7 linked regions of the Macaca fascicularis genome follow. The main gene of each other region encodes a partner of the protein of the gene in region 7 in a complex. Links are inferred from orthologs where the notes say so. Each region holds a gene or a part of one and is shown on either strand. Other genes may lie near its edges.

The links.
Region 1: the proteins of GTF2E2 (region 7) and GTF2E1 are in contact, whole or in part, in a crystal structure (PDB 5GPY), measured with the Homo sapiens proteins. The link is inferred for Macaca fascicularis from reciprocal best matches to the Homo sapiens genes GTF2E2 and GTF2E1. Residues at the interface, in NP_002086.1 of Homo sapiens: Asp159, Gln160, Arg161, Gly162, Leu163, Gly164, Gly165, Leu167, Leu190, Val192, Asn193, Arg194, Pro195, Ile200, Phe202, Cys208, Gln209, Phe210, Ser211, Val212, Asp213, Glu215, Phe216, Gln217, Leu219, Trp220, Arg221, Val223, Thr224, Val225; in NP_005504.2 of Homo sapiens: Arg16, Lys19, Tyr20, Val21, Arg23, Gly24, Phe25, Tyr26, Ile28, Glu29, Leu32, Arg39, Leu51, Leu52, Lys53, Phe54, Asp55, Gln58, Gly68, Asp69, Lys70, Phe71, Lys73, Thr98, Asn101, Val102, Val103, Lys104, Tyr105, Lys106.
Region 2: GTF2E2 (region 7) and POLR2H share a complex: the UniProt entries of both Homo sapiens proteins name them as parts of the TBP-based Pol II pre-initiation complex. The link is inferred for Macaca fascicularis from reciprocal best matches to the Homo sapiens genes GTF2E2 and POLR2H.
Region 3: GTF2E2 (region 7) and GTF2F1 share a complex: the UniProt entries of both Homo sapiens proteins name them as parts of the TBP-based Pol II pre-initiation complex. The link is inferred for Macaca fascicularis from reciprocal best matches to the Homo sapiens genes GTF2E2 and GTF2F1.
Region 4: GTF2E2 (region 7) and GTF2F2 share a complex: the UniProt entries of both Homo sapiens proteins name them as parts of the TBP-based Pol II pre-initiation complex. The link is inferred for Macaca fascicularis from reciprocal best matches to the Homo sapiens genes GTF2E2 and GTF2F2.
Region 5: GTF2E2 (region 7) and GTF2H5 share a complex: the UniProt entries of both Homo sapiens proteins name them as parts of the TBP-based Pol II pre-initiation complex. The link is inferred for Macaca fascicularis from reciprocal best matches to the Homo sapiens genes GTF2E2 and GTF2H5.
Region 6: GTF2E2 (region 7) and GTF2A1 share a complex: the UniProt entries of both Homo sapiens proteins name them as parts of the TBP-based Pol II pre-initiation complex. The link is inferred for Macaca fascicularis from reciprocal best matches to the Homo sapiens genes GTF2E2 and GTF2A1.

What each region holds. Positions count from the first base shown.
Region 1 is NC_088376.1:162,458,672-162,462,712, reverse strand, and holds the start of GTF2E1 (general transcription factor IIE subunit 1), read left to right. Parts: upstream 1-1,241; 5' UTR 1,242-1,292; intron 1,293-4,041. Other genes in the region: RABL3 (rab-like protein 3), read right to left, coding at 967-1,012.
Region 2 is NC_088376.1:96,289,922-96,292,041, reverse strand, and holds the end of POLR2H (DNA-directed RNA polymerases I, II, and III subunit RPABC3), read right to left. Parts: intron 1,916-2,120; coding exon 1,832-1,915; intron 916-1,831; coding exon 798-915; 3' UTR 501-797; downstream 1-500. UniProt on the Homo sapiens protein: DNA-dependent RNA polymerase catalyzes the transcription of DNA into RNA using the four ribonucleoside triphosphates as substrates.
Region 3 is NC_088393.1:7,158,781-7,161,190, reverse strand, and holds the end of GTF2F1 (general transcription factor IIF subunit 1), read left to right. Parts: intron 1-25; coding exon 26-145; intron 146-306; coding exon 307-380; intron 381-461; coding exon 462-600; intron 601-806; coding exon 807-924; intron 925-1,011; coding exon 1,012-1,216; 3' UTR 1,217-1,910; downstream 1,911-2,410. UniProt on the Homo sapiens protein: TFIIF is a general transcription initiation factor that binds to RNA polymerase II and helps to recruit it to the initiation complex in collaboration with TFIIB. It promotes transcription elongation.
Region 4 is NC_088391.1:24,364,745-24,368,914, reverse strand, and holds the start of GTF2F2 (general transcription factor IIF subunit 2), read right to left. Parts: upstream 2,801-4,170; 5' UTR 2,658-2,800; coding exon 2,592-2,657; intron 1-2,591. UniProt on the Homo sapiens protein: TFIIF is a general transcription initiation factor that binds to RNA polymerase II and helps to recruit it to the initiation complex in collaboration with TFIIB.
Region 5 is NC_088378.1:66,517,957-66,521,895, reverse strand, and holds the start of GTF2H5 (general transcription factor IIH subunit 5), read right to left. Parts: upstream 2,801-3,939; 5' UTR 2,755-2,800; intron 1,277-2,754; 5' UTR 1,239-1,276; coding exon 1,204-1,238; intron 1-1,203. UniProt on the Homo sapiens protein: Component of the general transcription and DNA repair factor IIH (TFIIH) core complex, which is involved in general and transcription-coupled nucleotide excision repair (NER) of damaged DNA and, when complexed to CAK, in RNA transcription by RNA polymerase II.
Region 6 is NC_088381.1:149,170,862-149,174,361, reverse strand, and holds part of GTF2A1 (transcription initiation factor IIA subunit 1), read left to right. Parts: intron 1-237; coding exon 238-442; intron 443-1,511; exon of another isoform or gene 1,512-1,655; intron 1,656-2,670; coding exon 2,671-2,735; intron 2,736-3,500. UniProt on the Homo sapiens protein: TFIIA is a component of the transcription machinery of RNA polymerase II and plays an important role in transcriptional activation. TFIIA in a complex with TBP mediates transcriptional activity.
Region 7 is NC_088382.1:33,815,381-33,818,880, reverse strand, and holds part of GTF2E2 (transcription initiation factor IIE subunit beta), read left to right. Parts: intron 1-1,203; coding exon 1,204-1,386; intron 1,387-3,500. UniProt on the Homo sapiens protein: Recruits TFIIH to the initiation complex and stimulates the RNA polymerase II C-terminal domain kinase and DNA-dependent ATPase activities of TFIIH. Both TFIIH and TFIIE are required for promoter clearance by RNA polymerase.

The sequences.
Region 1 (4,041 bases), on a different chromosome or scaffold from region 7:
TAGGCCAACTCCAGAAGAGCACATCTATAAAATGCAAGTTCAGCATTTATTGAAGTTACTAAGGAGAGATGAACTGGGGATTATGGAAGAAAAGATAAGGGCAGTGAGGTGGGAGCTGGAAATCCAGAAGTCAGCTGTAGTTCTCAAATGTCCCAGGGGTCAAAATAATTTTTCTTTGCATCCATTGAGATAAAAAAAAAAAAAAAAGAATTTTAACACTAGGATTAAATTCGGCTCAGCGTTAAATCCTAGCTGCTTCAGAATAAAACTCTTACTTTAATTTCTCTATCGTACAGTCTAGGACATAATAGGTTTTCAATGAAGATCAAACGAGAACCAGGAAGTCAAGAAGCTCAGTTAAGAATAAAACAGGACCACCACCCAATATGTCACTGCGTATTTATAACTTAGCGTTTAAGTTTGTGGACTCTGCGTTCAAAAGGATTCTGCCACTCACATCTCTCTGCCTCACTACTCTCATCCGTAAAATGTGATCATAGGACTAATCTCAGAATTAAATGAGTTAATGTATGAGAAGCGCTTGCCAGTTCACGTTTGTCAGTGCACGTTTGACTTCCTTAATGAACAAAATCTCTTGAAGGCACGGTCCTACTAACTTCTGTACCCTTAACACAGAACTCCATACAATACTCAATGCCTGCCTTTTTTTTTTTTTTTTCCAAATAAAATAACTGACAATACACTCTAGGCTGCAGTCTTCTGGGAGACTGATGTGGAAAGCCGCGAAGGAAAAAGACCCGGGCTCCGCGACCCCCACCCGCGCGACGCCGCCGCCGCCGCGTCGTCACACGGAGCAAAGTCCCCTGGGAAGTGTAGTCTTCAGGACTTCGGAGGGACTTCAGCCACGGGCCGAAGAGCCAGGGAGTTGAGGGAAGGAAGGTAAGGGGAGGGTTACTGGGTAACTCAAAAGTGTCTGGAGCCCCAGAGGTGGGGTAAGACGCTCACCTGAGTCTCCCAACACCAGTACCTTCACCCGATCCAGGGACGCCATCTTGCCACTGCCTTCCTTGGGTTAACGCCTGTTCCGGGATTGTAAGCCAATCAGAGTTGGGCATGGAGGGCAGAGCTTTCAATTTCATTGGCCGCTCGGAGCGTGACTGTCTGAATCGAAGGCTTCACTGAGCTGATTGGCTGGTCTGGTAGCGGGGTGTTTCCCCAGCTGGTCTCAGGAATAGTGCGTTTTCTTTGTCGCGTAAGAGGCGTGGCTCATTTAAGCCGGTAGTTGAAGAGCTGAGGGCAGCTGTAGTGGGAGTGTTCCAGGATTCGCTTTGGTAAACCTTGTTCCCTGTTCCTTGTTCGGAGTTCCCTGGCCGGGCATTGCATTTCATGATTTCTTCTTCCTTTCGCTCCCTCTTAACTGTCCTCCCCTATTGAATTACCCTCTTGCCTTGGTCCTCTTGGTTCTCCAAAGAACCATTGACCCCGGAACGGCCCGTGTGGGACCTCGGGTAGGGCGGGCTTGGGTGCGCCGAGTGTGGCCCTAGACCCAACTGGGAGAGTCCGAGGGAGTTTGGGGTCTCGGGGTCTCGCAGTGGGGAGGAGTGCATATCACCGAACGCGTCTCGTGGAGGGCAGCTGGGTCCGGAGGTTTCGCAGTAGTTTGCCGCTATGTGTTCAGTGAAGGCGTGGAAAGTGCCATGAAATGTGGTACCAGAACACCGCAGTTAGATGTGTAGAATCCCAGGTTGTTCTAGAACTGGCGTAGTGGTGTACTGAAGTAATCTAACTGGACTCTTCGCATCCAGCTTTTTTCTCCATTCTGCAGTCAGCGCACACTTTTAACATCGTGAATTTGATCCACTCACCTCCAGCTTAAAACTGTTTTAAATTTAAGAAGAGAGTGCCCAATAGCCTGTCCAATTCTACCGTGGAAGCAAGAGTGGAGGAAGTGAAGCGGGGGGAAGCTGGCAAAATGAGCCGTGTTGGAACAACACGTGTCTAGGACACATATGGAAAGTTTTATGGAAGTACTTGTCTGGCTGTGCTAGATACTGGAAATTAATTGGTGAACAAAATGAAGTCTGGTCTTAGAGATAGACATGGAGAAAGTACAAGAAGGGAGAAAGAGCCATGGAACATGTGAGAGGGGATGATTGTACGCTACCTAATGGGGAGTCTGGGAAGGCCTCTATGAGGAAACGTCATTTGAGACTTGAAGGATGATTAGGAGAAGGGGGTTGGCTTAGTTGTAGGGGCAGAAGGAACAGCATGTGCAAAGCTCTGGTAAGCACGGAAAGCACATGTGGCTTATGGAATTGAGAATATGCTAGTGTGGCTGGATATGAGGCTGACAGAGTAGACAGAGGGCAGAGGGTGCATTCTTTTCAACTTTGTTTCTCTAGCTCCGTGCCTGGTGCACAATAGTCCTTAAATGTTTATATGATTAAAATACACGTGTCTGGACTGGGGTAGGGAGGTGAGGCTGGGATATGACTCATGGACTATGAAGATCAAAGGAAGAAACAAAAGGTCCTAGGAGGTACCACACTCAGAAGTCTCCAGAGACCAGCCATACTCCTTCCCTAATAATGCCAGCTGCTATTCGTCTTCAGCTTATTGTTTCCATGTGGGACCATGGGCTCACTTTTTCCTCAGATATTTCCAATTTTTCAGGAGGAGCTGGAAGTTGAAATTTATGTGAACTCTTACAATTTTTAAATGTTGACAACTAATTCAGAAAATTTTTGAAACATTTCTTTGGGTGAAACAATGCGTTGGGGGGCTGCCAGTTTGAGAATTCTTACCTAAGACCTCTAGAGATTGAGTAAGGAGATTCAGTGTGAGTGGGTAGTGGTGGAGGAGAGAAGTTAGTGGTCAGGAAGGAGGATTTTAGAATGCACAGATTTTGAACAAGGTGGCACAGCTTCATTTCATTCCTAAGCTCTAGTTTCATTTGTTCAGCTACCTGCTGGGCATATTCAGAGGAATATCCTATGGTATTTCCTCAGAGACACTTCTAAAAATGATTTCCTCATTTCTTCCATATCTGCTCCTCTTCAAGTGTCACCTATTTCTCATGGCAGTACTTTTCCTAGCTACACTGGCTCAAAACAGAGCTATTTAAGATTTTTCCTACTCTCATATTCTGTATCCAATATATTTTGTTGGGTCCTTGTTATTTTTTTTTCTGTAATAACTTTCATTCATTCTGTTCTCTTCTTGCAATTTTTTGCCTTCTTCCGTAGTTTGATTTTATACACCCAGTACTTCCACATTGCCTCCACCTTCACCCATTTGAGTCCATTCTTCATATTGGTATAAGAGTCGTTTTTCTAAATAGGGGATTTATTATGAATGCCAGTACTTAATTGAACTCTCATGCCAGCCCTGAAAGCAGAACACTTTGCATTAATTATCTCACTGAGTTCATACATTAACTGTGTGAGCAGGGGACCGTTAATCACTTTTTTTTTTTTTTTTTTGAGGGTCATGTCCTGTCACCTAGGCTAGAGTGCAGTGGCTCAATCATGGCTCATTGCAGCCTTGACCTCCTGGCTCAGTTGATCCACCTCAGCTGGTACTACAGGTGCACAGCACCATACCTGGCTAAGTTTTAAAATTTTTATAGAGGTGGGGTCTTACTGTGTTTCCTAGGCTGGTCTTCAACTTCTGGACTCTAGCAGTCCCCCCATCTCGGCCTCCCAAGGTGTTACAATTACAGGTATTAGCCACTGCACCTGGCCTAATCACTTTTTATATATAAGGAAACTGAGTCTGAGAATTTTCTGGGGTCAGGGGGGCTAAGAAATACTGGAACTGGGATTTAAACCCCAAAACTGTTGGATTGTAAAGTCTTCACATCACTCCCTGACTTTAGTCTTCACAGCTCCCTAGGGTGTTTTAGGCAAAGGAAACAGGCTGAGCGATTAGTGGCACAGGGACCTCTCCATGCAGGATGAGCATTGGCAGGATATATAGTAGGTACTTTCGCTGTATAGTAGAGCCACCTAAAGAGCTTTAAAAATTTGTGTGATGCCAAATCTGGCCACCCCGAACCACCTGAGACAAAACCTTTAGGAA
Region 2 (2,120 bases), on a different chromosome or scaffold from region 7:
TATTGCTGCCCTGTCCACTTCCACTTACCCTCCCTCCCACTGGAATGTAGAGAGCCAGCTCCTCCAGCTGCTTCCAGAACCACCAAGTCCTCTCCTCCTACTCTCTTCATAGTCATCTCCCATGCCTAAAAGGCTAAAAGCCTCTGTGCACATCTTCCATAAAAATAATGAACATTTCTAGACTATGCAAGCGACTCAATCAAGTCAGCGTGAACTGACTTCCTAAGAGCCTGAAAGTGCTGGAAGGACCCGAGCAGGGCTCCTTGCCAATTCAAAATTCCGCGCCAAATGGGTGGTATCTTCTGGGCCTGGGGTACCCTCAGGAGCCAAAAGTACAACACTCTCTCCCAAACGGAAAACCGCATTGGAGGATAAATGTTGAGAACAGTCAGCCAGGAGACTGAGATAACCCTGAACCCAGATACCAAAAGGCTGGAATAGATCCTACATTGACAAGTGATCAGCTGGCTGTGGGCCAGAAACAGTACACCACAGACAAATTGCAAAAAAATGATTTTACAGTAAATGAACTTTTTACAAAAAGGGGAGGGGCAGTCTGAAAAAGTAAAGTTTAATTTAAAAATCATATACACAAAGCTTCTGATTCATTTGCAGCTTTCCCACTGTCTTTCACAGGCGAGTCAGTTTCCCTTTGAGTGCAGGCCAGTTAAAGATGCCACCACAGTGGACAGTGAGCCAGCCCCTCCTCAACAGGTGAGCAAGACTGGCTGCCACTCAGGCTTGAACAATGCCGATGACCTGAGTGACTAGGCAGCAAGGCTGGCTTCTGGCGAGGTTCAGAAGGCTAGCTTCTTCATCAGGAGATAAACTCTGGAATCCACCTCGAATCCATGCAGGTTGTTGGCATCCCCCTGCAGCCTCATGAGCAGGCCCCCATAGGACACATAGGCAGAGCTGAAACAGAAGGCCCCATCCCATGAGTCTGGAGCACTGCTACTCAGCAGCTCTCCATCTCAGCCTAAGAAAAAGAAGAGGCATCTTTCTACTGTTTTGTCACTAGGAACCAAAATTCTGACAAAGATCAAGATATGTGCAAGGCACTGTTCTTTATATTAGCGAAGGTGGAAAACACCTATATGCCCCAAATCAGGGGAATGGTCAAATGAATCAAGATGTATCCACTTACTGAAATGTTATGCAACTATTAAAACATTTAAGAAAAGCTTCACACTAACATGGGGAAACATATTTTACATAATGTTAAGCAAAAAGAGCAGAAGAAAACATAATAAACACCACAGTCTCAAAGGAAAAAACAGAACACCAGGATATGCAAAAAAGTCTATGTAAAAGGTTATCTCTGGGTATGGAATTACAGGTGACTTTTTTTTTTCCTTCTTCACATTACTCTTCTGCATTTCAAATTGCTTACAAAAAGCACATATTGTTTTAATAAGATTTTAAAGAAAAGAAAAAATAGCTGGACAGGAAAACCAAGGAACTAGGGATTGGGTTACAGAGTAGCAAAACACACACACACACACACACACACACACACACACACACACACACACACACACAGCCTAATAGGATAATCACTTAATGCTGCATTTGTTTCTGGAGAAGCAAGTCTCCTTTGCACTTTACACAGTAAGATAACCAGTTTCTCATCTGGACTGCTGGGCCAGGAGGGCCTGACAAAGAGCAGTCTACCTTTCAGACTGGAAACTGCTCTCAGAACCATTTCTTTCTAGTTCCTACCTAGGTCTGAGGTGCCTGAGGAGAGGGACCCAACAGAGGAAGCAGGAGCATAGCTCAAAGTCTCAGAACACAGAGAGGGAAAAGAACCTCATAAGATTATGTAACTTACAGGCGTGTTGCTGCTTCAGTAGAAGTTTCGTCTCCCTCAATCCTGTACACTTTTCCATACATTACATATTCAAATTGGTCAGCCCTGTGGAGCAATAGCAGCAAAGTTATTCTTAACAGTAATTAACAATATAAAAAATCCCATTTAAAAATGGTTACTGGTCGGCTGGGCGCGGTGTATCAAGCCTGTAATCCCAGCACTTTGGGAGGCTGAGGCGGGCAGATCACGAAGTCAGGAAATCGAGACCATCCTGGCTAACACAGTGAAACCCCATCTCTACTAAAAATAT
Region 3 (2,410 bases), on a different chromosome or scaffold from region 7:
TCTTGCTCATACCCTGTCCCCCCAGGTGTTGATGAGCAGAGTGACAGTAGCGAGGAGAGTGAGGAGGAGAAGCCACCCGAGGAGGACAAGGAGGAGGAGGAGGAGAAGAAGGCGCCCACCCCGCAGGAGAAGAAGCGCAGGAAAGGTGCGGCCGGTGTGGCCCATGTTGGAGGCTCGGGTCAGGGCCTGGTGCTCTGCTGCCTCCTCCCCTCTCCCCTGCAGGCCTCCCTCATCTGCAGTGGAGGTACCGGTGGATGCCGGGTCCCAGGGTTGCTCTGGCCCTGACCCCTTTCCTGTGCCCCGCAGACAGCAGCGAGGAGTCGGACAGCTCAGAGGAGAGCGACATTGACAGCGAGGCCTCCTCGGCCCTCTTCATGGCGGTAAGGCCCAGCCCGGTGACAGGGGAGGCCTGGGCGTCTGTTTCCAGACTCACACCCCTCACCCCACCCTGACCTCCGCAGAAGAAGAAGACGCCACCCAAGAGAGAGCGGAAGCCGTCGGGAGGGAGCTCGAGGGGCAACAGCCGCCCAGGCACGCCCAGCGCAGAGGGCGGCAGCACCTCCTCCACCCTGCGGGCGGCTGCCAGCAAGCTCGAGCAAGGTGAGCGCCTGTGGCCTCCCCACTCCCACAGCCACGGCCTCCCGACCTCTGTTGGGGCTTAAGACAGAGAGGAGATGGAGATGGGGGTGGAGGCCTGTCTGTCCCCAATCCCCCTGAACCCTCATCCTGGCACTGCCCAGCCTGGGGTCCTGCTCAGGGATTCGGCCTCCTGCCCCCAAGACTCAGCCCTGACCCCACTCCCACAGGGAAGCGGGTGAGCGAGATGCCTGCAGCCAAGCGGTTGCGGCTGGACGCGGGGCCCCAGAGCCTGTCCGGGAAGTCGACCCCCCAGCCGCCATCGGGCAAGTCAACACCCAGTAGCGGGTAAGCTGATGAGGACGGCAGGGGGCAGGGCAAGCGCTACCGGGGACAAGCTCACTGATGCCACCTTCCCCGCCCTCCCATCCTCAGCGACGTGCAGGTGACTGAGGATGCCGTGCGCCGCTACCTGACACGGAAGCCCATGACCACTAAGGACCTGCTGAAAAAGTTCCAGACCAAGAAGACAGGGCTGAGCAGCGAGCAGACGGTGAACGTGCTGGCCCAGATCCTCAAGCGCCTCAACCCCGAGCGCAAGATGGTCAACGACAAAATGCACTTCTCCCTCAAGGAGTGAGGCGCCGTCCGGCACACGGCCCTGCCCCCGAACTCAGCCTCTCACTGCCCCTTCGCCATCCTAGAGTGAGGCGCTGTCCGGCACACAGCCCTGCCCCCAGAACTCAGGCTCTCACTGCCCCTTCACTATCCTGCTCCCTGACTCCCAGGGCCCCATAGTTAGCAATTCTGGAAAGGTTAAGCCATCTCCTCCTCTGGCTCCTCCTGGAATCTTCAGATGCCTGTTAGACCTTCTTACTGTCCTCCTTCTCCTGGCTCAGCCTCCCTCACACTGACCAAGGGCCCGTGCTCCCCACTTCCACAGTTCTCCCTTCCACTCCCCTAGTTCTCTCTATAGCCATGACTTGTCCACCGCACAGCCCAGGAAGTCTTCAGTTTGGGCTGGGTGTGATGATACGCGCCTGCAGTCCCCGCTACCTGGGATTCTTAGCCCGGTTCAAGGCTGCAGTGAACTTTGATGGTGCCGCTGCACTCCAGCCCGGGTGACAGAATGAGATCCTGGCACACACACACACGAAAAAGTAGCCAGACATAGTGGCAGGCACCTGTGATCCCAGCTACTCTGTAGGCTGAAGCACGAGAATCACTTGAACCTGGGAGGTGGAGGTTGCTGTGAGCCGAGACCACGCCACTGCACTCCAACCTGGATAACAGAGTGAGACTCTGTCTCAGTAAATAAAAAAATAAATTGCTGAGATTTGTTTCCTTTTTAGATCTGCTATTCTGCTAGGGATAAATGTCTTGTTCCTTATGTTTTGGTCCCAACTTTCATGGTTTTATTTTTATTTTTTAGTTTTTGAGACAGGGTCTTGCTCTGTTGCCCAGGCTGGACTGCAGTGTCCACTGTCTCAGCTCCCTGCACCCTCCACCTCCCGGGCTTAAGCCATCCTCCCCGCTTAGCCTTTCAAGTAGTGCACACCACCACGCCCAGCTAAGTTTTTAATTTTTTGTAGAGGTGAGGTCTCACTGTATTGCCCTGGCGAGCCTTGAACTCATGGCTCAGCCAGGCATGTACGATTATGCCTGGCTAATGTGTTTTTGTTTTGTTTTGTTTGAGACAGAGTTTCACTCTTGTTGCTCAGGCTGGAGTACATGGTGCAATCTCGGCTTACCACAACCTCCAGTTCCCTGGCTCATGCAATTCTGCCTCAGCCTCCCGAGTAGCTGGGATTACAGGCACCCGCCACCACGCCCG
Region 4 (4,170 bases), on a different chromosome or scaffold from region 7:
TAAACATCACCTTCTCTATGATGTCTTTCCAGTTCTGGTGAAGCATTAATTTTTTTCCTGCTCAAAACTCTAAGAGATCTTGTATGTACAGTCCTTACTGCATTTACACAGTTCTGTAACTGGTGATGGAATTAAATATGTACAAGATGACCTTGATATATCCTAGGAAGAAACATTTTTCAGCAACAAAGATCAGAACTCAAGGTATTATTTTTAACAGAAAATATTAATGTAAGGAGAAAAAACTTGAAATCAATACGTAGTTCAAATAAAATTCTGATGAGATGAGAATGAAGACACACTTTCTAAGCAACAAGTTACTACTTCTTTTTTTTTTTTTTTCTGAGATGGAGTTTTTGTTCTGTTGCCCAGGCTGGAGTGCAACGGAGCAATCTCAGCTCACTGCAACCTCCGCCTCCCAGTTTCAAGCAATTCTTCTGCCTTAGTCTCCTGAGTAGCTGGGAATACAGGCGCATGCCACCACAACCGGCTAATTTTGGTATTTTTAGTAGAGATGGGATTTCACCATACTGGCCAGGCTAGTCTCAAACTATTGACCTCATGATCCACCTGTCTCGGCCTCTCAAAGTGTTGGGATTACAGGTGTGAGCCACCGTGCCCGGCCCAATCCTGTGATGATTTTCTAAATGTGACTCTGGTTACTTACCCTCCCCTCTAATTCGTACTGCACACTGCCAAACTTTTTTTTTTCTGAATAAATATTTGGCATCTCTCCCTCACTCAAATCCTCCAAAAAGTTTGTTACTTCCTTGTAAACTAAAGTTAGAACATCTCCGTTTCATGATATGACAATCTGAGTATATGGTCCCAACCTTTATCTACACAGATCTTCTGCTCTAGGTTCTCTCTGTTTTCCACGACACACCATGCTGATTATGTATTCTGAGTCTTGCATTTCTGTTCCATTCCCCATGGTATACGCTATGTCCACCCACCCAAATCCTGTAAGGCGTAAACACTGAGCATTTACCATGCTCCTAGAACAATGGCACCATCTCAAGTCACACCATTTTTTCAAGCTTTTTCCTTCAGTCTGCAAGGGCCATCTCCTCCTTAGTGACTCTCCTCCAGTTAACACGCTGCTGGAGAGAGAAATGCCTATTTAATTCATCCTTTTAAGTCACACTGAGCTTGGAAATAAGTCAAATCAGTGCCACAGATTAAGGCGAGGGTTAAAGAATGAGAGGTCATGCATTTATTCATCACCTTTTTGTTGAGTAATTACCATGTGCCAAACACTATTCTGGGTATGACAGGCAAAGATCCAATCTCATGGAATGTGATTTTGTGTGTTGGAAAGACGGAGGTAACCAACTTTGAACATATTAACACAAAATCACTCTACACTGTGAAAAGTGCTTTGAAGAATGTAACGGCCAGGCGCGGTGGCTCACGCCTGTAATCCCAGCACTTTGGGAGGCCAAGGCGTGCGGATCACGAGGTCAGGAGATCGAGACCATCCTGGCTAACACGGTGAAACCCTGTTTCTACTAAAAATACAAAAAATTAGCCGGGCGTGGGGGCGAGTGCCTGTAGTCCCAGTTATTCGGGAGGCTGAGAGAGGAGAATGGCGTGAACCTGGGAGGCGGAGCTTGCAGTGAGCCAAGATCGCACTACTGCACTCCAGATTGGGCGACAGAGCAAGACTCTGATTCAAAAAAAAAAAAAAGAAAAAAAGAAAAGAAAGAATGTAATACGGATCTGTCGTGTTAGCAAATGATCATAAGGGAGCCATTTTTAAGAAGGCCGACAAGAAAGACCTCTTAGATTTAATTGACGAGAACTCAGCCATATGATAAATCAGTTAAAGCATTAAGAAACCGAAAGTCCTTACATTTTAAGTCTCAACGACTTTCAGGATCACATTTTGAATTTGCTTAAGTATTATGAAACTCCCCTAGGAGAAAACACTCCCCAATATGAAACAGTAAAGCACAAATAGTGCCCGCTGTGAGCCAACCAAAATTGCTGTCTTTACATAAAACATTTATTGACGGCCAGTTTCATCAGACCCAAATGTGCTCTGAAAGAATACTCCAGTCCAATGACCTCTCCTGACCTCTCCTTCTGTTTGTTCAGGGCTCTCTCGCCTCTTTTGAGAGCTTCATTAAGGACCATTTACCTAAGAGAATACTTTAAGAGTACGCAGGGACCAGTTCTAGTTTCTCGCCGAAAAAACTGTACAGAAAGCAGACATTCAACTACCTCACACAGGCTCATGGCTAAAACCAGTTTCACCAAGGGAAAGATACAAGTAATTCTTCGGTCTGGGATAAAATGCACCGCCCAAGTCTAGGAACACCAAGACAGGGCTCCAGGAAAGCCGTGAGAAAGAGATCTAGTCCAGGCTGATTCAGACCAGTAACCGGCTGAAAGACACTTTGCGTCCCTAAACTAATCTCCTCATCTGCAAACAGATACAACAATGACTCATGCCTCTCAAAATATGTGAAGCTCTAACGAGATAGCCGTAAAAGAACTTTAAGAGGTGCACGGAGCGGGATGGGCTCAAGTTACTTAAATTATACTTGTGTTAGGAGGAGCGCAAGTGGGAGACTCGTGAACATTACCTTGACTAGCCACACTCCTGTGTTCTGTTTGGCGCCGGTCAGGTCGAGTTCCCCGCGCTCGGCCATGGGTCTGTTGCCGGTGGACGCGTGTGGCCTACAGCAGCGACACCAGGAGCCGGAGGGCTGAGAAGTGGGCGTCCGGAACAAAGGGCAAGCCGCGCTGAGAGGTGAAGAGGCGGCGTTCCTTACCTGCCAGGACACTGGAAACCGGGGGGAAAGAGGAACACGCCGCCGGTAGCCAGACTGCGCCTGCGCACTGTACGTCCGTACGGCGCGCTGTTGCAGACAAACTTTCTGTTTCGGAAATTCCTTGGGTGGGCGTGGCTGTCAGCGTAGTGTGTATCTGAGGGATTAAAACATAGGGTAAGATGAGCCAAAACGTTAGCAACGTATTTAAAGACATGGCCAGCATAACTGAAGAAAAAGATTATCAGAACGGAAAAACGGGGTTCAAAGAGACAAAAGTTGTCAGAACGTGTCCAACCCTAGCCAAAGAGAGAGAAAGAATATTTGAAGGACAGGCTTAGGTTAGTAAATTGGCATCCCCCCTGGCCAACGTCATTAGCACAAGTGGGCACTGGGATCAGACTTGGTAGCCCTGGGTATATTGAAAACATGCCGTTTCTAGACCTGAAAAGAAAGCCGTGTTTCAGCTCAGAGGCTGCCCGAGCTCCTCTGATTAAGCAAGCAGAGCACCTCATATTCCAAAACCCGAAGGTCTGTGACGAAACGAACAAGTAAGAGACAAAACTGATCGTTTCCTCCCCTGCTTAAAGTTTTCTCTTTCTCTTCTTGCCTCTAGAATAAAATTCAATCCTCCTGCTTCAACTGGGCCCTCTTAATTTCATCCGTTTTCCCCTCCCACCATTACTCCACCATGCACCGAACCACACCAAACCCAGCAGACTTCCCGGAACACGTCAGAATCTTCCTCGGTCATTTCAGAGCCTCTGCACACTGGATTCCCTTCCTTGGAAGCCCTCTTTTACCCCTGCCCTCACTCCCACTCTTTCCTCTGGTTGGCAAACTCCTACTTATGGTTCAAGACCAATGGAAATGTCACTTCTTATGAGATCTTTTATCAACTTCCCCAGAAGAAATTAGTTTTTCTTCACATCACAGTGTGATACTTAGCACTCTGCACTATAATACATATGTTTACATATCTGCCTTTGCTTTCCAGACAACGAACTCCTCCTAGGCAGAAAGAGCTTTATTGAGGTATAATTTACAAATAAAAAATAGTGCTTTATTCATGTTATATCCACAATGTATAGCACAGTGTTTGACACATTGTCAGGTTTCAGCAGGCTTTGGGTGAAAGAACATTCGCTGAAGAGAAACAAACAGTAAGGTATTGTTAAGAAGGGCAAGTAATGTATTGAATCACACATCAGAGCCTTGCACAAAATTGAGGAAATTTTATGTGTGTTCAGCACAGGGCCAGGAAAAGCTGTCAGAACTCTGCGATTAGCTAGCAAAATTAACAGGAAAGATGGGAAGAGACCTGGAGTGTGTCGAAAATGAAAGTTTCAGTGGCTGGACCCTGTAACCCCACCTTTGGGAGGCTGAGGTGGGA
Region 5 (3,939 bases), on a different chromosome or scaffold from region 7:
TGGTGGATCCCAACAAAGAGGAAGTTTTCACCAACCTTTCAGTTTTGACATAAAAATGTAAATTTATAAACATAAAACTTTTTTTTATAGCCTTCAATTTTAGTATGTGATAAGCCCTTGGGAGTTAAGAATTTAACTATATCCAAGTGCCCTGATTTTTCAATTCACTGAAGGTCAGAATAAATGGCCATCATCATAATTTGGTTTACTTCTTTAGCAAATCTCTGCAGACTTAAAAATCAGTTAAACATAACTGATAGAAATGGAGCTTAAATATGGCAGTAAGTGAAGCCAACTTAAGATATATGTGGAACAGCACTATATAAGTTATTACACATTAGCTTATATTAATACAATGATGGGACTGGAATTTGGAGAGATTCAAATTGGAGAGATTCCTGGGACAGTGGAAGCAGCTGTGAGATAGGAATTCAGCAGAACTAGTTTCTAAGACAGGAGAGACAGTAAACAACAGGTCAGAAGACCCGACTGATAAGCGAGGATACAGTAAAGAAACCAGCCAGAACCAAGATGGTGACAAAAGCAGCCTTCACCACTATCATACACTAATCATAATGCATGAGCTTATGTTGTTGGCAGTGTCCAAGGGTTTGGTCCTTCTCCTCCTCAGCTTTGCCATCACAGTAAACAGTATCATTATCCATGCACTGGCTCATATTAGAGGCACAGAAAGGTAGACAGTAGTATTTTCAGACAATGGGAGTGTCCACAGAGCAGGGTTCCTAGACATTGGATTGCTTTGAGGACCTCAACCCTGCCCATTTATGGTTTTTAGTTTCTCCTCTGGAATGTATCTAAAGGAATTTAAGAAACCTTCTCCACTTGGCTCTCTTGTTTTTCTCTTTAAAGTCTACAGTTTGTAATGGTAAAGACTTAAGCAAGTTCCTGAACTCTTTCAGGACCTAAAATTCTAGTCATGTTTGAGGAGAATGCAAGCACTGTTCCTCTAAAGATGACTCATCTAACAAATATGCTGCCTCTGATCATGCCAGTTCCATCAATTCAACAGAGGGACTGAAATCTGGCACTAGGAACTTTGCAACAAAATCTGTGCCACTTGTTAAAAGTGAAAGACTTGATTTCATTCATATCTTAAAAACAACAGGGTTTTAGAAAGGACACACACGTAAGTCAAGATTCAATATTTAAACTTAAAACTCATGAAGTATCAAAACTACTAACCATTCTATAAGCACTCCTTTCAAGACGTTGACCATGTTTTCTTAGTCAGAAGGTTCAGATGACCTCAAGAATGCTAATAAAAAGAAGAAGGTAACACTGAATTAAAAATCATTAACTTTCATATACTTTGGGGACTGCCTCTGAAATGAGGCAAAATAATTAAGTGTCAATATTTAACAGTTAAGTCTATGAAAGACAGTTAACATTAAGAGACATTCTGATTTTTTAACAAAATTAAAATGAGTCTACTTGGAATATTGCCACATCTTACTTGCCAACCAACTCTACCCAAGGTCAATTAGCCCTAATAGAAGCAAGCAGCCTAACTCTACACCAGTGTGCCCAACCCAGGTGTAAACTGTCCGTTATTCAAAGGATTTCTTTTCCCATTCAGGAGAATGACAAAGGGTAAGATCCTGGGAGACAGGACTCAAAGATAGTTCTGAAAGGTGCTTCAAAAATTACACAGTGAGCCCAACCACCTCCTTTTAGTTTATATTTTATTTTATTGAGACAGGGCTGGCTCTGTCGCCCAGGCTGGAGTGCAGTGGTGCGATCTCAGCTCACTGCAACCTCTTGCCTCCCAGGTTCAAGCCATTCTCCCACCTCAGCCTCTCGAGTAGCTGGGACTACAGGCAAGAGCTACCAAGCCCAGCTAATTTATTGTATTGTATTGTGTATATATATATATACACACACACACATATACTTTGCGACAGAGTCTCGCTCTGTCGCCCAGGCTGGAGTGCAGTGGCGTGATGGCGGCTGACTGCAACCTCTGCCTCCGGAGATCAAGATATTCTCCTGCCTCAGCCTCCGAGCAGCTGGGACTACAGGCGCCCGCCACCACGCCAGGCTAATTTTTGCATTTTTAGTAGAGACGGGGTTTCACCATGTTGGCCAGGCTGGTCTTGAACTCCTGATCTCAAATGATCCACCTACCTCGGCCTCCCAAAGTGCTGGGACTACAGGCGTGAGCCACCGTGCCCGGCCAATTTATTGTATTTTTAGTGGAGACGGGGTTTCACCATGTTGGCCAGGCTGGTCTCGAACTCCTGGCCTCAAGTGATCCACCCGCCTCGGCCTCCCAATGAGCTGGGATTGCAGGCGTGAGTCACCGGGCCCGGCCCCAACCACCTCATTTTACAGATGAGGAGACCAAAGGAAGAGATTAAGCCGTAGTTCCCGGGGAAAGGGGAAAAAAGTACAAGCCAGGTTTCCAGATCTTGTGCCCCTTCACTAAATAAATCACGTCCTGTGCGGACCTAGGCTGGAAAGAAATCACTCAGCGTCCGCCCACTTAACTAACTTCCACTTACACCTGGGCGCAGGGCGAGCCCTAGCCCCACAGGAAACCCACGATTAAACGAGTGCGGAACTGCAGTGCGGCCCCGCCAGGAAGGGCCTGGAGAGAGTGGGGGACACCGCCCTGTGCCCCCAGCACCCGGTGGACAGGCTTCTTGGGCTTTCCTCTTCTTCCCCTCTTTCTTTGGGACCCCTCAGTCTGCCCACACCCCACTTTCCCCAGCCACTCGGACGCTTGCCACACACCTCAGCCCACAGATGCAGAAGCGCCTCGGCGTCGCCGACACAGTGCGCCTGCGCCTATACGTCATCGCGCTAGGGACGCTGTTGTGAGTGGAGCGAACCGGCAGTAGGCGGGCCCGGAGAGGGCCGAGGGGGCGGGGTCATAAGCCGCCCGCCGCCGGGTGGAAGGCCCCGGCCGGGAGCCGAGGAAAGGGGAGGGCTCCCCAGACAACTGGGTCCGGCGAGCAGTTGGGGACAGGTTGAGTCTGCGTGCCGGCAGGTAGGACGTGAAGGCCGGGCTAGTGTGGGGGCGGACGGGGGCGTCGGAGCAGCTGGGCGCGGTGGGGAGTGGAGAATGGGGAGGGCAGTGGCCGGGCACGGCCGGGCGCCACCGTAAGGCGCGCGGACCGGACCGACCCGCTGACGCTCCCCTGGGTGTGAGGGCCTCTCTCTGGTGGTCGCGAGCCTGACTCGTCTTTCCCGGTCGCTGCCTTTCTCTGGCTGCTGTCGAGGCCTCGGGGAGTGCACCTACCGGTCCTTCTTCCCGGGCTCGGTAGTCACGGAGAGATAATGAGGAGGAGGAGGAAAGGGCCTCACCGGTCACTTCTGAGCCTTCCAGACCACCGCTTCCGGCTCCCCCTCTAACCCCAGAGATGGAAACGATTGAATACTGAGAGATCTCTAAATTCGGCAACGGTCATTTAAAAGTGAAAGACCCCAGAAGCTTCTGAAGTGATTCCCTTTCCCCAAATCTGTTCTGTAATCTAAAGGAGCACTCTCATTATTTTTACTAGTTGAGATATGAGATTCTTGTTTTCTGTTCCTTAGGTTAAATTGTACTTCCCGAATTAAGCTCTACCTTCTTTTTTTTTTTTTTTTTTTTTTTTTTTGAGATGGAGTCTCGGTCTGTCGGTCAGGCCGGAGTGCAGTGGCGCGATCTGCGCTCACTGCAACCTCCGTCCCCTAGGTTCAAACAGTTCTCCTGCTTCAGTCTCCCTAGTAACTGGGATTACGGGCGTGCGCTACCACGCCCGGCTGATTTTCGTATTTTTAGTAGAGACGGGGTTTGTCCATGTTGGCCAGGCTGGTCCGGAATTCCTGATATCAGGTGATCCGCCCCCGTCAGCCTCCCAGAGTGCTGGGATTACAGGTGTGAGCCACCGCGCCCGACCTCATACTGCGTTTTTTTTTTTTTTTTTTTTACATCGT
Region 6 (3,500 bases), on a different chromosome or scaffold from region 7:
AGATAGAAAAAGAAACAAAATCTCCAGTACTCTGATGTGGCAAAAATGAGGTTTGATACTTTAAAATTTTGTTTTTGTTATTGTTTACACTTGGGTTAGAATTATAGATTTGTTGTATTTCTGTGTCTGTATCAGTTTTTAAAATGGAATAACTTTATAAAGAGATTAATAAAACTGTTGTGTTCGTCTGTCCAGAGTTATTTTTCACTTAGAAATCTTTAATGTTCTTTGCCTTAGTTATGGGAAAACAAACTAATGCAGTCCAGGGCAGTAGATGGATTTCATTCAGAAGAGCAGCAGCTTCTACTGCAAGTTCAACAGCAGCATCAACCCCAGCAGCAGCAGCATCACCACCATCACCACCATCAGCAAGCTCAGCCTCAGCAGACAGTACCTCAGCAAGCGCAGACCCAGCAGGTCCTTATTCCTGCATCACAGCAAGGTGAGACTGGATTTGTTTTCCTACTTATGACTTGGAATTAAGTTTGTCGTCATGAAAGAAGAGAAATATTCTACATTTCTTGGATCTTGTCTTTTAAGGGGCGCATGGAGAACCTAAAAATAAACAAACAAAAACCCCTATGTTGATTTTGGGCTTTTTTTCCACTTTCTCTTGGCTGAGGGGTGTGGGTGTATGTAAATGTATATAAATTTGTATAAAACGTAGGTTGTATCTGTAGAGTAATGGTAGACAAGTAATTTACTAATTGAAAGCCTAAGTTGTATTACTATTTAGTTTTGAAAAGGCTATGTAGTGATGGATTTCCTGAAATAAGTTAAACCTAAAAGGTTTATTTACTAAGGACTTTATTATTTTATATGGTAAAATAGTTATTTGCTTTCTCTATGAAACATGTTCTTTCAGAGACATGTTTCAGATTAGTTTTTAAAATATATCTTAAATTCTAGAGTTTTTTGTATACTTTGGCAATCTGAAAATTCAGTTCCATAGTAATTTATGTAAGCCTAAACGGACTGAATTAGATTTATTATAAGTTAAGCGTGGATATATAACATATCTTAATTTATATTTCTTGGATTAAAGCTAAGAAAAAGCAAATATTCGTAGACTGTGTCCATAGTGCTTTGTACTCTGCAAGTCATTTTATAGATACTGTTTCATTGGCACCTTATAAGGGCTTTGTAAAATAGCCCTTGGCTCAGTTTCACAGCTGAGGAAAATCTGAGCCCAGAAAACGCTAAGAAACTTGATCTGTATTTTCTCTCATGACACACGTCTATTCAGTTATAAAACTTTCTGAGCATTCTAATTCAGTGCATCTGCTTTTATGGGAGAGGACACTAGAAGTAGATGAAAAGTTCATTTTAATGTAATCATTTAGTTACTTATTTGCCTCATTTGACAGTATATATATGTGTCTCAAAATTGGTAATGATACACAGTAGAAGAGTCTATTTGGGTTATTTTACTGTTGACGTCTAGTGGTAGTTTTCATACCTAATTTTAGTGTATACTTTGTATCAAATAATTTTATCCCTTTATTATTTTTTGATGACTGTTCTTCCTGTTGCCTTCAGACCTGGCATTAGGATTTTAGGTCATCATAAATTAAAATTTGATTTTCTTCACTCAGAGAATATTAGGATAATGGAGTTATCCGTCTGTTCTCTGAAATTTGCGGAATCAAACATTTAATTCCTTTTATGCTTAAGTAACATTGCCATTATTTCTGATTTGTATTTTTTCCAACTTGGGCCCGTTCACCACTCTTCAGGCAACCTGGTGGTCCTCTGCTTTCAGGAGGCCACCATATTGATGCCGAACTTAGTTGGACACCCAATCAGCATAGCGCACTATAGCCCAAAACTCCTGGGCTCAAGCGATCCTCCCACCTCAGCCTTCTGAGTTGCTGGGACTACAGGCATGCATCCCTGCATCCGGCTGATTTGTATTTTTTAAACAGCCGATGAAAGTAGCATGAGTCTGTCAACTTTCATGTTGGAAGAAAAGGACTATGTAGGTTTCAAAAACTAGTCACAATTTTTTGAGCTTACTTTTATTGGATTAGTAACTCATTGCAACAGTGGTATCATTGTATCAGTAAAACAAAATTATGAGTTGAGTTAAGACAAAATTATGTTTGAAAATATCCAGTTTACTTAGGAATGCATAGAACTGTGTATGTGTGTATGTTTAGGTGTTAAGTAACTCACTACTTCATGTTCCTAAATGCCCTTGCATCCTTAGGAATTGTCACTTAAAAAATTTTTTTTTTTTTTGAGATGGAGCTTGTCACCCATGCTGGAGTGCAGTGGCATGATCTCGGCTCACTGCAACCTCCAGTTCCCGAGTTCAAGTGATTCTCATGCCTCAGCCTGACACCCAGCTAATTTTTTTGTATTTTTAGTAGAGACGGAGTTTCACCATGATATTGGCCAGTCTGGTCTCGAACTCCTGACCTCAAGTGATCCGCCCGCTTTGGCCTCCCAAAGCTTAAATATTTGTGTTTTCTAGTATAGGGTGGGTATATCACAGCTGTTATTTGCCGTATAAATTTATACTGTCCTGAGAGCAAATGATTGAAAGCATTTGAGTGCAGAAAACATGGAAAACATGAAAAAAGTTTTCATCATTGTATGTAAAATGTTCTTGTGATCAGAAAATAGCCTCATGGTTCCTTGTTTACATGTGTACTTGTTTTTTTGTAGCCACAGCACCACAAGTTATTGTTCCAGATTCTAAGTTGATACAGCATATGAATGCATCAAACATGGTAAGACTCAGAATGTAGCAGTTTGATTGGCTGTACTTAATTCTAACTCAAATTGTGATTATGCCTATATATGTCATATATTAACAACTTGAAGTTTATTGAAGACTCAGGCAGAACAGCTATTTTAGTTTAGTTTCCTGAATATTGGATCTGAAGTTTAGCTTGGTACCTAGACATTAAGGTTCATAAAATTATGGAATTGTTTAAGAATACTAAAAGAATGGTGCTTTGTGAGAGTTACTCCATTCCCTACTATGTCCGAAAAAGTTTATAATGCCAAACTTATAATGCCAAGTATGGTTCTGTTTCAGGAGACCTGGTAATTGCAAGAAGTTGGGAAGGCTAAGAATTGTTAACTTTTAAAAAATGAAGATGAACTGTTTGGATAGTTCAGTATAACTATTTTTAAAATCAAGCATTTAAAAATATTGCTTTGACTTAACCATAGTATAGTCTAATAAGTCATTATAGTGTGTAAATTACCAAAGAATACATTTTAACCAGTTGAGTTACATTAGAAGTTTTATATTTCTGAGGACTATCCACTAAACTTTACAAGTCCTCACTCATTTTCAAATTACATTTCAGACATATAATATTTCTCAACAAATATAGTATAGTTTAACTGTGAACTTGAAAGAACCTCTTCAGATCCTTAGAAAATCTTTACCTATATGCTTGAAGTTGTTTTCTTTTTTTTTTTTTTTTTTTTTTTGGATAAAACATTAAAATACAGTCAGAGTAGTTCAACACTTCCTTATAAAT
Region 7 (3,500 bases):
TAGGTCTTGACTTTTATAATGTAGCATGACCATTAATTAGCATAATTGTAGCTCATTGTATTAGTGATGTACAAACAATGGTAATCCACATTTAAATTTGCTGGTTTAGCTAACCTTGAGAGTTCATAGACTACCAACATATAGTTAACATGACTTTGATCATTTTACTATTCTATTCTCCCTTTTTTCTTCTTCCTGTGTTTCTTCTCTCTCTCCTTTCAGGGTCAGGCTGGCAGCTGCAGAAGAAAATATATAGGGTTGCTCTTTTTGAAGAGCTTTCCTTCTGATACTAGCTGTACAACAGAACTGACTAGAAACATAATTATATTCAGTAATTCCTGCATTCCTACTCAGTTTCATTCTCAAGCTGACATAGGTAAAGTTCTTGTATGCACTAGTCTGGTCCTTTTCAGTTCGTTACACAGCTGCCAGTGCCAGTTGATAGCAGATGGGGAAGACCATTGACTAGTACGGGTAATGTCTCTCACTTTGTAATGCCAATATGTGATAAGCTATACTTTGCAGGCGGAGTGGGCACTACTCAGTTCACTAGGTGTTTTATTGATTTCTACCCATTTTGACTTCTAGAAGAATATGGATTCAGCTTTTTTCAAAGTAGTTGTGATAAAATAGTTTATTTCTCCTCAAAGAATTTATGTAAATAAAACACAGTTTCTTTTATAAAAAGTGAACACCATGCTGATCTACTCTTCTGGAATCCTGGATGTCCAGGATGTTAGGCCTGCCAGTTTGTGTTCATAAGGTACTTTTAATTTGCCACTGTATTGGCTGGTGTTGTATTTTAAAATAATTAGTAGAATTAAGAATGTATATATGGGCTGGGCGCAGTGGCTCATGCCTATAATCCCAGAACTTTGGGAGGCCGAGGCAGGTGGATCACCTGAGGTCAGAAGTTCAAGACCAGCCTGGCCAACATGTTGAAACCCTGTCTCTACTAAAAATACAAAAATTAGCTGGGTGTGGTGGTACGCGCCTGTAGTCCCAGGTGCTGAGAGGGAGGGAGGCAGGAGAGGGAGGCTAAGGCAGGAGAATCGCTTGAACCCAGAAGGTGGAGGTTGCACTGAGCTGAGATCACGCCACTGCATTCCAGCCTGGGCAACAGAGCAAGACTCGTTTAAAAAAAAAAAAGAACGTATTTATGTTTCCATTTGTTAATATACTCCAATTGTATCACTGTTACAGGCTTTAGTCAACAATCCCAAAATTGAAGTAATAGATGGGAAGTATGCTTTCAAGCCCAAGTACAACGTGAGAGATAAGAAGGCCCTACTTAGGCTCTTAGATCAGCATGACCAGCGAGGATTAGGAGGGATTCTTTTAGAAGACATCGAAGAAGCACTGCCCAATTCCCAGAAAGCTGTCAAGGTAATCTCTCTCTTCTTTCTGTGTCTTAATGTAATTTGAATGAATAATGACTTCTTGGTTCTAGAAATATCAAACATTTTACAATTGTTTTTAAAGCTTCCATTATATACACATGGGGTTACAGTGAGCCACTTGAAGGTTTGAAATTTGTCTTGTGTCACCAAGCAGGAAAGGGAGCAGCCATCTCTGTGTAACTTTGACGGGTTCCTGTTGCTGTTGCTATATGATTGTTTGATTGTTCAGGATATTTCTGGAAAATTTTCCTCAAAGGCAGTAGAGTTTCTCTTGTAAGCTGTGTTTGTAAATAAGAGTGTCTTCTATAATAGTAGTAGATGTTCCTTACCTGAGGAACTAGAGGCATTAAAACACAAAAGTATTGATTAATAACCTGGCTATTTTGAAGTCCTAAAGGGGCTACCTATGAAAGTCCTACTGGTACAGATTACATTTCCAATTTAAATTTGAAACTCACTGGGGAAAGCTGCTTGTTTTCATTTGTCACAATTGCTAAGGATTAATGTTAACTTATCAAGCAGGTTCATTCATTTGCTATTAGAAGAAAACTTGGCCTTTTCTCTCCTCTGCTTCTTGGTAATGGAATTATACATGTCACATCTTCTGGTTTTGTACCACAAGTCCTTGAGGCTCTCTTTATTTATTTCAGTTTTTTTTTTTTCCTGTTCTGTTAATCCATTGTCAAGTTCACTCACTTTTCTTCTTCACTTCCAACTTGTTAAGCCCAGTTGGTGAATTTTTTTAGTTGTATTTTTCAGTTCTAGCCTTTCTTTTTAAATTGTTCTTCTGGTTTCTGTTTCTTTGCTGAATTTCGTTTTCTTTTTTTTTTTTTTCCATTCGTGACAGGTATCTTTTGTTACACCCTTGAGTATGATTTCTTATAGCTGTTTTAAAATTCTTATTCTAACAGCTGAGTCATCTTAGAGCTGGTCTGCAGTGACTGTCTCTTTTATGGGTCATATTTTCCTGTTTCTTCATATATCTAATACATTTCTGTGGGTCTTAGACCTTGTGAATTATATTAATACGTGTAAAGACTCAGGATTCTGTTACATTCCTCCAAAGAGTGTTTTTATTTGTTTTGTTTTGTGGTTAAGTGGGCAGTTACTCCAAACCTTGTCTACCCTACAGCAGGTAGCATATGATATGTCTCTTCTGTTCTTTTAGCCTTAGCCCTTTTGCTCGGAATCTTTTTCCATTCATGCATAGCCCAGGGTAGCTAGGCTGACTTTTTCCAAGGTTTCCTTTTTCACTTTCCAGTTGCTGTGGTTGCCCCACGCTCTGTTTCCTGGTTCTTCAATGCAGAAACACTGAGGATTAGCTAAAACACTGAGTTTTAGCTTCACAGGGCACTGACTGTGGCCTGCCCTCGGTGCTCTTTCTTTCTGAGTATAGACCCCCCCTCCCCCCCTTTTTGCCTGTTTTCTTTTGGTTGCTTTTCAGTTCCTTTAGGTAGTTGGATTTTTTTTTTTTTTTTAAATCAGAATTTCACTCTTGTTGCCCAGGCTGGAGTGCAATGGCACGATCTCAGCTCACCACAGCCTCCGTCTCCTGGGTTCTAGTGATTCTCCTGCCTCAGCCTCCTGAATAGCTGGGATTACAGGCATGCATCACCACACCCAGCTAATTTTGTTGTCAGGCTGGTCTCCAACTCCCAACCTCAGGTGATCTGCCCGCCTGAGCTTCCCAAAGTTCTGGGATTACAGGTGTGAGCTACCACGCCCGGCCTAGGTAGTTGATTTTTAAAATGTCTTGTCCAGAGTTGATAGTGTTTTCTGTGGGAGGTTGGGTCCTTTAGGAGCTACTTGGTCATTATCAGAAGCAGGGCCCTCCTAAGATTTTTAACTTAAAAGTGTCTCAGCTTAACCTGCACAAATGTTGTCAATAAAGACATGTCACCAAAGTTGATACTTTGTGTGCTGTATAGTGTGTTGAATTCAGTGGGACTACTGAATCCTAGACTAACAGTTGAGTGCTAGGTGTGTTTCCTGCATGGCTGTTTTCTCCCATTTTGGTAGGGGCTTTCCTGTTACTATATGTGGTAGGCTTTTCATTACATTTTAAACTACAACAGTGCCATAATCTGATAATGGCTTAGT